2 linked regions of the Drosophila melanogaster genome follow. The protein of the gene in region 2 purifies or fractionates together with the protein of the main gene of each other region. This does not show direct contact. Each region holds a gene or a part of one and is shown on either strand. Other genes may lie near its edges.

Region 1 (8,695 bases), on a different chromosome or scaffold from region 2:
GTGTAGAATACATACAAGCGGCGCGGTGATGTAGCCATGGGCATGGTATCGGTACCATTTGGCCGCTCTTCATAGCGCAACATTAGAAGTTCATTGTTCACCAGATGCATTCTCTCCATGATCATGTGTTCTATCTAAATGAGATATGTAAGGATGTGAAGACCGTTGTCACTCTTTATAATGTTACTTACATACTCAAAGTTTTTATAAAACGACTTCTGACTTTCCGTCGGGTTGCCACTTTTATCATTAATTTTACGGTACAGAAAGCTAAGGACGCGCTGTTTAATGTGCGTTATGGGCAAAACTGTGGTGGCGTCAAGATTGTCAAAGTCTGTGGTAGCCTTCTCGATAAAGTCCCTCGGCCTGGGACCAATAGTCTCCTGCTGGTGGAACTTACCGTCATTCACCCAATAGACGTAAACGCACTGATGCAGCCGGGACATCATCATCACTGTTGAGCCAAACACGGAAATTCCATGATTGTGGGCAATGACGATGGAGTCGTTAGGCAGGATAAGTCTATCTGTGACGACGCCTAGCTTCAAATCCACCAGAAAGAACACATACGAGAAGGCGTCCACTTTGTCGAACAGATCTGGGTACCGTACGTAGTCATCGACCGGCAGTGCGCCGCGCACAACGGTCATGGCAGCCAGCATGGCATAACGACCCTCTTCCAGGAACACACTGAACTCCCGGTGCAGATAGTAGAGGCCAAAGTCGCCTTGGCATAGATTCAGCGTCTCTTTTGTGGGAAACAGGCGTTCAAAGATCCTGCTCTTGAGTATGGTGTCCTGGCTACTGAAGCACTCGCCACTGCCTACATCCGCCTGGCGAATCAGTTCACCCACCGCCGCACAACTAGAACCCCCGTAGCTGTATATGAGCAGACTGCGCTGATCCTGCGAGAAGGCCAACAGTTTTCTGCCATCCGGCGTAAACTTGCGCAGGTAGATCGGCGGAATGGTAATCGAGTCAATTGTCAGGCAAGGCGTGATGCACTTGTAGAAGAGACGCTCGTAGGCCAACAGCGGCATCCTGCCCGGCTGTTGGCCCACGTTGGTGTATCCGGACTCGCGGTTCTGCAGCAGATGCACGAGGTTCTGCGATTGTAGGCGCTTCTTGTAGGCCATTCTGACAGATCCTGGGAAAGTTCTGCCAAGTTCCTATTCCTAATGTCAGCCGGGTTCTTCTTCCGATCGGAAGGTAACTAAAGTAAAGTGTGACCGCAGTTAGATTACAAAAATTTACTCTGTCTACAAAAGTTTTGTTGTTAAAAAATATAAGTATAATAATAATAATATTAATGCTTTTCAAGATTCAAATAAAAAACGTTATTTATAAATAAAATAATTCAATACATCTTACTTTACTTTGTTTAAAAAAATGTGTAAATGAATTATCTATGAAAAGCAAATTTAGATTTATTTATTTTTTTTTTTAAATAAAATTATTCTTGAGTGCTTTTAAATGCTCTAAGTATATTATGTATTTCTGAACCATTAGCCTCTTTGATTACGACACCGTTTCATAAACATTTGATGTATAACATTACATATATTTTTTTAATTTTTATCATTAAATATCGTCAACTTTTAATTCCAAACTTGGTTTTACATCACCTCATCTTTAGCTTACACAAATCCCGCGCAAACGTTCTAACGGTTTTCAAAAAACAATGTATTTTTCGAAAATTTTCGGAATTTTAAATTACTATTTCACTTTATTCAGAGTCGAAATGTTCGCAGACATATAAATATACACATCTGTTAGGGATTACGTTGCCCATTCCAGTGACTGCCAAGCGGAGACTATAGTAAGCTTAGACATTGTAGCCTACAATGTGACGCTTGCCGATGCACTCGCCGATGTAGAACCAGAAGATGACCTCGGCGGTCACCAGGGTGTTAAGCCAGGCCTCGCGAACCGTGAGGTTCTTGTAGGCGCCGGTCTTGGCTCCCTTGATGATGTTGCCCAGTCCTTGGCGAATGGCCGGAATATCGGCGGGCGTCGGGGGCGTCAGTTCCACCTTGGCGTACTTCAGGAACACGTCCAGTTGGGGCCTCGCCTGTGTGAGGAGCCCTGCAAAAAGTGATCATTACATAATTTTGCGATTGACAGGCGCCAATGGTGGTGTATCCATTCGATTGCATTCGATTCACGACACTCACTGTTCACAAGTCCTGATCCCTTGGTAGCCAAACTCGCCATCTTTTCAATTTGGTTCTGCAAGCAGTTGGAATTATACAAGAGGAAATCAACGAAATGTGCGGAAAACTTACCTATTCAGTGTGCGACGAAACAGAGATGTTATGCATTGGGGCCAGGGCTGGAGCACTAGTTATCGATCGGCGGATAAATACCAAAAATACCAAATATACATTTCTAAAGTTAATGGAAGAAACTGCAAACAGTAATTTTAAATAACGTTAATAAAATAGCTTATTATGGATAATATAGAGTTAAAATAAAATAAAATAAATTGAATATATATTTATATTTAAAATATTTCATTCTATACAGTAAATAAACAATATGAAATGAGTTACTGAAAATTCCCTTGCAAAATTTATTTAAATATAGTAATTAAAATACATATTACATTTAATATAAAAATAACTTTTTCCCCACCGCATCGTGCAGTATATTTGTCTGATTTTCCGAAATGATGAATCCCTGCAGTATTTTCGAACCACAAAGCTTCGGTCACACTGCAAAGGTGTGGAAATCTTAGTTTCCACAAAACGAGCAAATATTTGCAGTTTTCAAGCCCCAAATTGGCTAATTAGAGTTCGCATCGGATCGAATTTGCCACCGAACCCCCGAAACGGAAGTGGCTGCTTAATGTTTGTTGTGGTGCCAGCCGCCAAACGAAAAGTGTGACGGGCGGTGAGTGTACGATATGCTGTAAAGTGAGGTGGACTGTGTAAAACTAAGCTGCGCCGTTCAAAACCAAAATCAAAATCGCAGCAGCCACTACGATTAGAAAGTGTGAGAGATACCTTTGTGTGTGCATTGTTGCGATTTAGTGCGAATGTTTCAGTGCGAAAATCTGAAAGAGTCAGCCGTTCCGTCCCACACATATGTATGTACATTTACTTGGGTGCTGCTGCTGCTGCGGTTCATGCGTGTGTGTGAGTGCGTGACGGTCTAATTTGCGTTGGTGGGAGGCCGCCGACGATATACGTATATGCACGTATGGAATAGGTGCCCACGTAAAGGCCCCAGGTCGTAGCACCCAGAAACTGCCACCGAAAAGGGGGGCATTATCGACTAATCTCGCCGGGACTGCAAGGTGCATCTTGCGGGGGTGACTTGGGCGTTACGCCCTTATCACCTCGCTGTGGGTATCGTTTCGTGGGGTGTGGTCCAGACGTCGAGTTCGTCAGTCGCGCATATCACAAAACAATTCAAATGGCATTTTGGTGATTGTAATGAACACGTCTCATGGATACATGGATAAGCGTCTCGTGAAATCTTCTGCAATACCATTCTGAGTCTTGTTCATAGACGGTTTAGTATAGTGATGACAAAATTTCTTTTAAACCAATTTTGATAGTATCCAATTAACTTTTTAAACGTCTACTTTTACGGGAAAATTTATAAACAAAGTTAAACGACAATTTGGGAAGTACAATTTTATCGGAATGAAATGTCTTCAATTGATAATCAGCATAAAAAGAAATCTTTTTATTATTGATCCCAATTTGGCATGAGATTATGTAGTAAATCAGTAAATAAAGGGTTTTATATTTAATTAATTTTAAATGCATTAATTCGTATTAAAACAATTTATTACTTATTAATGCCGTTTTCAGTCGATGAGGACGCACTAATTTACGGGTTTGCCAATTTGGAGATAATTGTCAATCGCGCCCGACCATGCCGCTGCCCAAACGATCCATAGAACCCGTGCATGTGGCCCGCTCCGTGTATCAGCAGGATGAGCTGCAATCCGTGGAGCTGGAGACGGTCACCAACACCACGCTGACGAACATCATTCGCCAGCTGTCCTCGCTGTCCAAGCACGCAGAGGATGTGTTCGGTGAACTGGCCCGCGACGTGGGCAACATCGGGGATCGAGCTAACTCCCTGCAGGCGCGCATCGATCGCCTAGCTATCAAAGTTACCCAGCTGGACAGCACAGTTGAGGAGGTGCCCTTGACGGACATTACCCGAAAGAAGGCCTTCAAGTCGGCCAAGGTTTTTGATCAACAGATCTTCTCGCGCGCCACCATGCCGGCACCAATGATGGACACATATGCCCAGTGCGACAAACCGCCGCCCCTCGACAAGCTTAATGTCTATCGAGACGATGGCAAGGATGGTCTTAAGTTCTACACGGATCCGAACTACTTCTTTGAGTTGTGGCGACAGGAGATGCTGAAGGATACCGAACGTGTGATGCACGACAAGGGCAAGAAGCTGAACAGACCGCGGCAGGATGGCGGTGCCGGCGGAGCTGCTGGACGTGGCAATAAGAAACAGAAGACCAAAATAAGGGTGCCGCACAATACGCGCGAACAGCAGCGACAACGTGCACTGGTGCACGGCGAAACATTGATGCCCAACAACGTCATCTACCGCACACCGAATTCCATGGTCAACGAAGAAGCCGGATACGGAAGTAAGTACTTGGCGAAAGGGATTGGTCTCCGTGTGAGCCAAGTATTCAGTGCGAACCAAATTCATAGGCTGTTATTGGTACGTTCGTTTCGCGCACTGACTATTTGCACTTGTCTTGCCTATTGAATGGTACATCTATTTTAATTATCAATTATGTCCTGTCTGCCCGTGTAGTTCAGCTAGTCAAAATACAGACTGTGGGCGAGGCTGACATCGATTTGCGGCATAGCACTCTCGATGCGCACCACCAAGTTGTCGGTAATATCCAAGACGTAGGTACGATGATGGGGCCACGTAGCTTTCATTTCCGCCCGGCAGACATCCCACGATACAGATGTACCCGCCATTCATTCACCTACTTCACTCAAAAGCTCGCTAGTTTTCGATGCGCCTCAAAACCCAGTTCGAAGATCACTAATTTGTATTATTTTGAAGTTGCTATTAATTGAAATTAACCCACACAATCATGACCCAGAGAAAGGTGACCGAAACAAAGTTTCCAGAGCTTAAAAAATAAATGAAATGGTACTTAACATAAATTCCATCTAAAGTTTGATTAAAATCTCAGATACAGGATATATTCGATCTAATTCATTATTATTACACCATTAGCAAAATGGTCTATGGCCAGTCTAGTTCATCCTCCTGTAAGTTAGCAAGACTTTCGAACTTGATTTGTCTCTAATTTGAATTCACTGACTTTGTTCCAATGAAGTTCGTCTTGTTGATGGTAAATACAATACGGTCAGAGAACCTTACAATTTCATTCTCCGAATGGTCGATTATTTTTCGCAGCTTTTATTTATTTGCATGTTGTTTTTATGAACTACTCTTTCGTTGTTTTCGGTTATGATATTAATGAACGTGAACATAAATATGCATTGCAATTACGAATGGATCAATCGCGCATAACCATCTCATTTACAGATACAGTAAAGCCTTATAATATGCTTTCGCATTTGGAGAATAACAGTAATGTCACCAAGCAAACCGCCGTTGCGATTGCAGGTTAGACATCCACATCCACTTTTAGCAAGCTCAGTAAAGACTATATATGTTCTTTCACTCGCTTCTATCCCCATATTACCTTACTAGCAATCCTTTTTGAGTTCCTTTAGCATTTGTGTGTACAGAGAACACTCTCTTTTTCAAACTATCAATCGGAATGGCGATGATTTATGAGTTTCATTGGTCATGCAAAGTGCAGATTTATTATCTCAAAACACTGTAAACTAGTCACCTTCTAACTTGCAATTTTAATGTAATGTGTGTGCACATTATATTTACAATGCATCTTGCATTTTGCATAATACTTTAATTCATTTCATACTCGCGATTCGTGATTGAGCCGCAGTTTTTGTTTAGGATCCTCCTATCTTTCTGTTGTAGTTCAGTCAATTTCCATATCTACGTCTACATGTCACTCTGCAGCTTTACTAATTCCTTTCTGTCGCCACATCTTATTCTACGAAAGTATCTCTAAATTGTTTTCTGTGCAACGAGCTAACAAAGACTTTTAATCGGATGTTTGTATATTCAACAAAATTTCTATTCGAGTCCAGCGGTCTCATATGCACAGAAATTTGGAATTGCTTGTAATTACATATGTGTCTTATTGTTCCTCGGCTGTAATTACAAAATAATTGGCGTGTTTTTAAATGAGATGTGTGTCCTGTAAAAACGTTCATTTTAATGGGTGGTTAGTCAACGGCTCTAATATCTCACATTCATTATTCTAGATATGGGAGTGTACGATACACGTCCGCCACGTCCTAACTCGATCGAATTGAACCGAAGCTATCAGTCGGAGCAGATCGATGGTAGCACCTACGAGCAGCTTCCACCGCAGATGGGTAATCAGTATGCTGCCACCTTCGGCAACGGCATGGGTGGCCCCCAGCAGATGCACATGCAGCATCAGCAGATGTATGACGCCGGAATGTATCAGTCGCATGCGCTGTACGGCCAAACTGGACAGGGAGTGATGTCGCCGGAGCCCATCTACGGACCGGGAACACCGTCGCGTAACAAACCGCGTCCGTCGCAGCCGCCACCGGCTCCGCCATCGAATGGCAGCGGTGGTGGTACGCCCACAGCCTCCAATGCCAACACTCCGACAAGGGGCAGAAGTATGTCGACCAGTCGGGATGCCTTGCCACCGCCTCCACCAGTTCCAGACGTCATTTCACCAATGTCTGGCATGAACGGAGTCAACAGCGGGCATATGGCGGCCAAACTGCTTGGCCGGGCGAACAGTTCGTCGGGAGCTGGATCTCCCAACAGCGTCCAGAATGCCAATGATATGGTCATGACGCAACTGAGCAATACTTTCCACAGCATCGGTATGACGGGCAATCAACTGAACTCCCTTAGCGACTTGCCGCCACCGCCGCCGGTTCCAGATCAGGTTTGTTGTTCACTGATGGGTGTTAATATATCACAATTTGGTTTAATTTGTGGCAAAACCTTACAGCACTCGCCTAAGATGTCGCCACCTAATGCCGCGCCACCACCGCCGCCGCCACCGCCTCCAGTCGAGGAAGGCATGGGCAGTGGCAACCAACACACGCTGCGCCCGCATCAAATTCTTCCCAAATCACTGGCCAATGGCGAAATGCAGCAGCCCGGCCAACAAAATGGTGTGCCTCACATTGTCGCACCCAAGAAGATGCTGCCTCCATTCCATGACCCACGCAACGACTTGATGAAGGCCATTCGAGATGGTAAGTAATTGCCATTCAAGGTTCGAATGCAAAAATATCATCAAATTAATCTTTCCAGGTATTACTCTACGTAAAGTTGAAAAGTCAGAGCAAAAGGAAATTGAACGAAACGCGGCGCCATTGGATGTGGCTTCAATCTTGGCCAGACGTGTGGCTATCGAATTATCCGAGTCCGAGGATTCGGATAGCGAAGACGACAGCGAGGGCTGGATGGAACCGAACGAAACATCGGCTTGATCCCTGATTAACTCGTTAAAGCCTGACATAATTCTAAAAAACAAAAAGAAGAAGTAATTCCAAAGAGAATTAATCCATACGATGGTCGAAACCAAGCGTGGTATGAAATTGGATTACACAAAAGCACCAAAGCTTTTCTACCACCCTTTATACAATATACACCTAATCCTAAATAATATGTCTAAAATCAAAAGTTTCATTGAATTGTATATACACCAACGAGTAATTATCGTTAAATTAATCGCTATAGTGAACGAACGCATTTGCATTTTAAGCCTAGACGACAATCCAAGGAAAGCGATTTAAAAGACTTGCTAATTTTGTTCGCTTCTTTGGAGTCAAGGTCTGAGTAGATATGGGCTTCTGTATCATAGTAGTCGGTGTTTGGATATTAAATTATAAATAATCGATATTATCACTGAACTCAATCCTACCCCAACTTGCAATCGATACGATTAATATAAAACATTTATCCAAAATGAAAATTTAGAATTTTGTAAATACAAACACATTAAAATATATCGAACTCCGTAGCATTTCAGTATACTCAACAAGCTATGAAATTGTATTATCCTTGTGAAAGTTAAATACCTGTATAATTAATAAAATATGTTTCACGAATATAAGCAGCCATGAATGTGTGGTTAAGTAAGCAAACATGGATGTATGTAATTTTTCTTTACATAAACTAAAATATACAATAAAAAATAAAGTAATTATATTCCAAATTAATGAACATGTCTTGATAGATAACTTTAAATGTTTGTTTGGGAATTTCCTCTGGTCTTATGCTTAAATACCAGAATCTTAATCCTCAATTTTGCTTTTGTTTGAAAAAAGAGCAGTAATGCATTTCAAATACAAAATATTTAGTCATAAATGCTGAAGTGCTTAGCAAAAGTAAGAAAGTATTGAAAAAGTATAAATGTCTGGGCTAGTTTCATATATGGCCTCTTAGTAAGGATTAATACTCCATTCTAAATTATATCCAATTATAGATAATAAAACTTCTTTTCGAGCGCGTTTTGCGGAATAGAGTGCAAGTTCGTACCCACGAGGGTAGCTAGCTTCTTAGCGTACTGGCAAACTGCTGGCACTCGTGTGGT
Region 2 (5,080 bases):
AAAACATAACTTTTAAGCACAACGCAAAAACATTGAAAGCTCTTTATTTACCTTCTTATCGCATGGAACAGCAGGTGCTGACTTACTTTCTGGGCTGCCCATTGCAAATTGGGTACAAAAATGCTTTGAACATATCTCAGATGCTTACAACTGAATAGAATACCAAGATAGCCAATTTGAAGGAATGCTATCATATACGAAAGATTGCCATGTATATAGAGTACGTGGCATCTCATCAGATATTCGGATTGTAATCACAGTGCTTAGCAATCATTACCCTTTCCGTGATTTTGCGAAGTCCAGCTCCTTTGCGCATGCACGAATATCTGCGGGATACAGATACACAGTTTCTGCTCCACATTCAGTTATACTATACCGTCTCGCGTTCAGAAAGGATGCTACTTTTAAATAAAAACCGAGTGATTTCTTTGGTCGTTAATTTTATTTTTCTTATCATTCTCATTTCATCGAGTGTCCAAGCGGATGAGAGAAACATTAACAAGCTGCTGAACAACCAGGTGGTGGTCAGCCGCCAGATTATGTGCATCCTGGGCAAGAGCGAATGCGACCAACTGGGACTTCAACTCAAAGGTAATAAACATATTCGTTTAATGTTCGTTCAGATACAACATCATTTTAAGTCCAAAGTTCTTTTCAAGTTCTTCGCCAATTGGTAAAGAGCCCAAAATGTAATTATTTCGAATTTGGTTCTTACAGCTGCCCTGCCAGAAGTTATAACCAGGAAATGCAGGAACTGCTCCCCACAACAGGCTCAAAAAGCGCAAAAGCTGACCACATTTCTGCAAACTAGATACCCGGACGTATGGGCCATGCTTCTAAGGAAGTACGACAGTGCCTAAATGGCATTTAAATGTTATTCTCATGCATCGAATATAATAAACTAGTCTCGACATCATTCCTAGCATTTGGTTTCGTAGCTTAGGGGATTTTCTAAGGATTAGGCGGCTGAAAGGAATCCCTCCTTTAAATAAAACATGGCTTTGTACACATGACTGTCTCTTTACATCTTATTATTACATAAACTCTAAAAGTACGTCTTTAAAGGGGCCAGGCCATCATTTACTGTGGCTCTCTAGGTAAACTGTTGCATTGTCCACGCCCATAAACTGGTGTATACTCAGCGAGGACAGCATTTTCATCTGGCCCTGGTACAGCACATCGGCGATGATCTTTTCCGCGTAGATAGCCTGTGTTCCGTCCATGGAGCGAAGCTTGTGTGCGATAATTTTCCCGAAGTTGGAGAAGTGGTCGTCCAGCTGGCTGTCCGCACTCTTTAGGGCCAGCGAAAAGAGGCGCTCAAAGTCAATGGTGGAAATGTCCGCTCGGAATTTACCTGGAGGCGGCTCGTTGTCCTCCGAAATCTGCGAAGAGACCGAGGAGGACCTTTTCCGTGTTATGTGATTGGCTTTCTGGCTCGGGCTCTGATTACTGATCAGTTTCGTTTGGTTCTGGGTGACGATGCGCTTGCACTGCGGCGATTCGGAGTCGCCAGGCGGAGACTTTATGGAGTCGGGCACGGATTTTCTGCGGGCGGACAGCAGCCTGTTGTTAGCAGGCACCACGATTTCGACCTCCTTGATAGTAGCGCCACTGGCATGGCTGTTGGCGTTGTTGACTGTTTTAATACTGATAACGGGGTCAGCGGCAGCGGCGGCGGCGGCCTCCTCGAAGATGTTGGCACAGAATTCGTTGGCGCTGTTGTTGGGTGACATCTTGATCGAGTCTGCCGTCGGCTTTGGGGGCTTGTGCAGGCTCTCGGCGTCGGAATACTCGTCGCCGTTCTCTGGCGCCCCTAGCTGCATGGAGTTGTCCAGGCAGACCGACTGCTCGCGCTTGAACTTCTTGTCGGCGGGGATCTCCTCGTCCTTAAGGAACATCAGGGACTCGAAGTAGCGGCGCTTGGGGCAGTAGGGCTCGTACTTCTCGCCCTTTTTCTTGACCTCGTTGTATTTCCTCAGCTGATGACGAAATGCACAGCGCAGATTGTTTATCTTTTGCTTTGTTCGCTCCACATTGTACATCTCCCCGTGCTTGGTGGCCACCTCGATGAGCTTCGCGTAGGCCTCCTGCCGGCGGCTGCGGTTCCTGAAGTCCGCCGAGTCCGCCTTCCACAAGCACGGATTGCTTTTGTATTCTTCGATGAAGTCGTCGATAAAGTCCATTTTTTGTTTACCAAATGAAAAACACTGTAGTTTACGGGGCCACCTAGTTTATCTATGTGTGCGTGTGCGTGAGTGGCATCAATAGCTATCGTTTCGCTCGGCTCATTCCGATTGGAACACGCGGAATCGGACCGCAAAATGGGTACATACTTTGCTGGTTTGCAGTAATTCCTTAATAAATATCATTTAAAACAATAAAACATCGAAAACTAACCCACGGTTAATATAAAATATAGCAAACGCAAATTCGAATATATCTATGTATATTGCGATATACAATTGTATATTGCGGCGATAAGTTTCTTTATATATTCGGCTGTGTCTACCCCAATACTTTTATTATTTACCTTTATTTTATTATTCATATTTACACGCTATAGTTGGCAGACAAAAATATTAAGTTATTTCTTTCATCGCACTTTCCCGCGTAATTTTTAAATAGTAGTGCTTAGGGAGTGTTGTAAAACACCATTAAAATTTCTTGTTGGAGTAAAAATTTGATCTCAATGAATCACGGTGAACACGGTAATTGTATGCCTATCGATAGTTCCAAATTTTTGACAATAATTGTTCCGGCCCAACCCATCTCTCATCTCTAGATAAACACAATTAAAACGAACAGAAACAATAGGAATAAATAAAGATGAGTGGGGCTCACAGAGAGGCGATCCAAAAGCAGATCCACCAGGACTGGGCGAACAGGGAGTATATCGAAGTGATAACTGCCAGCATAAAGAGAATCACCGACTTTCTGAACTCTTTCGGTAAGCAACCTGCATACGAAGCACCCACTTCCCTCTGACGCATGTGTGTGTGCGCGTGTTTATTATCACTTCCTTTGTAGGTGTGGGTGAACGCATAAGTAATATTACTAACAAATATTCATCAGTGACAATGACTTTATTTACTCAAGTCTTAAGTCTATAGAAACAAACAGTGGTTTGTGCGTGGTGGCATATATGTATAGCAATATATGTATCTACATACATATGGAAATGTATGTATGTAACATCATCGGAGGGCTCAAAACGAAAATTCGGCTTTATCTCTATCCGAATTAGTCACCTAAATGAATTGGATAAGCTTTTTCGGTTGCTCTATGCATAATTTAAGATACGCTAAATACTGTGATAAATGATAAGCCAAAGAGTGCGAGGTAGTTGGGTTGCTAAAATATCCCATATCCTTAATAGGGTTTATGTACACTGTTGGCATTATAAACTGTATCATCGTGTGCTATCATATCCTTTCAGATATGTCCTGTCGCTCCCGTCTGGCGGTGCTGAACGAAAAACTAACGATCCTGGAGCGGCGCATAGACTATCTGGAGGCGTGCGTCGCCCAGGGTGAAACATTAACGTAAACGCTGCCCACAACCTTATACTAAGCTTTGTACATTTATAAGTAATTAAAATACTGATTTAATATTTAATATCTTTTGATTCGCAATGTGAATTGCCGTGACATTAATAATTCGCTGTACATTGTTTGTTTGTTCTTTGAAGGAAGGTTTTCACGGCTGAGTTACTTGCGGCCATCGGATTCGATTCATTGCCCCTTTTAAGAATAATATAAGTAATAGCTCAGAACCAAGACAAGCACGCGATGTTTTTGCCAACTAACCGTAGCTGCCTTTATTGTCAATGTTAATGCAAATCGCCCGCCATATATAAGCCGCTTATTAGGGTCTAGTCGTAATCTTGTGAATGTTTTTTCTAAGACCTTAATTGTGCTTAGATTAATCATCGTTCTAGTAGCAGGAGGCTAGACTTAAGTGCTACATTTGTCATAGTTAATTTATATACTCTCTGAAGCCTGGCAAATCCCCCTTCGATAACGATATAATACTCGGCAGGTGTATGGTAAAAAAACAAATCTCTTTATTCCGAGCACGATCGTAGAAATAATTTTGATGATCAGATATAAGCGTAGACCTAATTAACAGTGCATATAACCAAGAGTTTCCGGAACCGGGATCCGCCTTACACCTTGATTCCCGAGGCCTCGGCGGTGGCGCGGTAGCGCTTGATGTAGATCTCATCGGGATCGTACTTGGCCTGCAGCTGCTTCCACTCCTCGGGCTTGTTTTCGATGATGTAGCGAATGACCTTGTCGGTGTTCTGGCGCTGCTTCTCGCTGCACTTGCTGCACTCCGTCTTCAGGGCGTCCGGCAGGGACTTCTTGAGCTCCCGGCCCTCCGGGGTGCACTTTCCGTTGTCCACCAGGCACTTGAAGTAGTTTCCGAAGAGGCGGTCCGACTTCAGGATCTCGTCGACGTCGATGTTGTCGTACTTGGTGGTGTACTTATCCTCGGCGGCGACCAGCACCAGTCCAAGGACGACAAGCGCAAGTATCATCTTCATCTTGGAGTTTTCTGCGGGCGAATTGGGGTAAGTATGTTTGTACGATTAATCAGCACTTTTGTGGCTTAGTGGGTCTGTTGGTCGGGCAACCAGTTTTGTGCGCAGGGGATTTTACTGGGCAATGGAAAAATATTTTTACTAGCCATCGAGCGCGACTGCATTCGCAAAATGTATCTGTGGACTTATGGGATTTGTATGCAAATTAATGCACAGCCAGGCAGGCCACTTTGTATGCGTATCTGAAACACATTCGCTGTCTGAAAAGATGTCACTGTTTATACACAATGAAACTGGTTGCCCGTCTGGCTGCGTCCATGAGTGTGTGGACTACTACCAGCCACCAGTCGACCAGCCGAGCCGATCGGCTCCAAAAACTATAAACGGTGCGGTGGTCTTACAATGGGGCTCGACTTGTGGGGCGACTCGGAGCGAATAGATGTGAAGCAATTCAGCTGCTGGAACTAACTGAGAAATGTTTCTATGAAGTGGGCTTTTATACCTGGGCCCACTTTTTACCTGGGATTGAACTTCAAG

The links. Proteins that work in one complex are often made in the same cells at the same time.
Region 1: the proteins of HSPC300 (region 2) and SCAR purify together in Drosophila melanogaster (affinity purification with western blotting; 4 studies listed by BioGRID, with this or other methods). This does not show direct contact.

What each region holds. Positions count from the first base shown.
Region 1 is NT_033779.5:10,974,077-10,982,771, forward strand, and holds SCAR (SCAR), read left to right. Parts: upstream 1-2,695; 5' UTR 2,696-2,994; intron 2,995-3,821; 5' UTR 3,822-3,885; coding exon 3,886-4,630; intron 4,631-4,803; coding exon 4,804-4,905; intron 4,906-5,556; coding exon 5,557-5,637; intron 5,638-6,368; coding exon 6,369-7,036; intron 7,037-7,102; coding exon 7,103-7,352; intron 7,353-7,410; coding exon 7,411-7,589; coding exon of another isoform or gene 7,590-7,646; 3' UTR 7,647-8,319; downstream 8,320-8,695. Other genes in the region: abo (abnormal oocyte), read right to left, coding at 1-134, 192-1,136; ATPsynG (ATP synthase, subunit G), read right to left, coding at 1,826-2,085, 2,175-2,214; piwi (P-element induced wimpy testis), read right to left, coding at 8,582-8,695.
Region 2 is NT_033778.4:24,026,481-24,031,560, reverse strand, and holds HSPC300 (haematopoietic stem/progenitor cell protein 300), read left to right. Parts: upstream 1-2,771; 5' UTR 2,772-2,826; coding exon 2,827-2,947; intron 2,948-3,436; coding exon 3,437-3,546; 3' UTR 3,547-3,844; downstream 3,845-5,080. Other genes in the region: CG30172 (uncharacterized protein), read left to right, coding at 396-591, 718-860; CG3163 (uncharacterized protein), read right to left, coding at 1,077-2,183; EbpIII (ejaculatory bulb protein III), read right to left, coding at 4,166-4,546.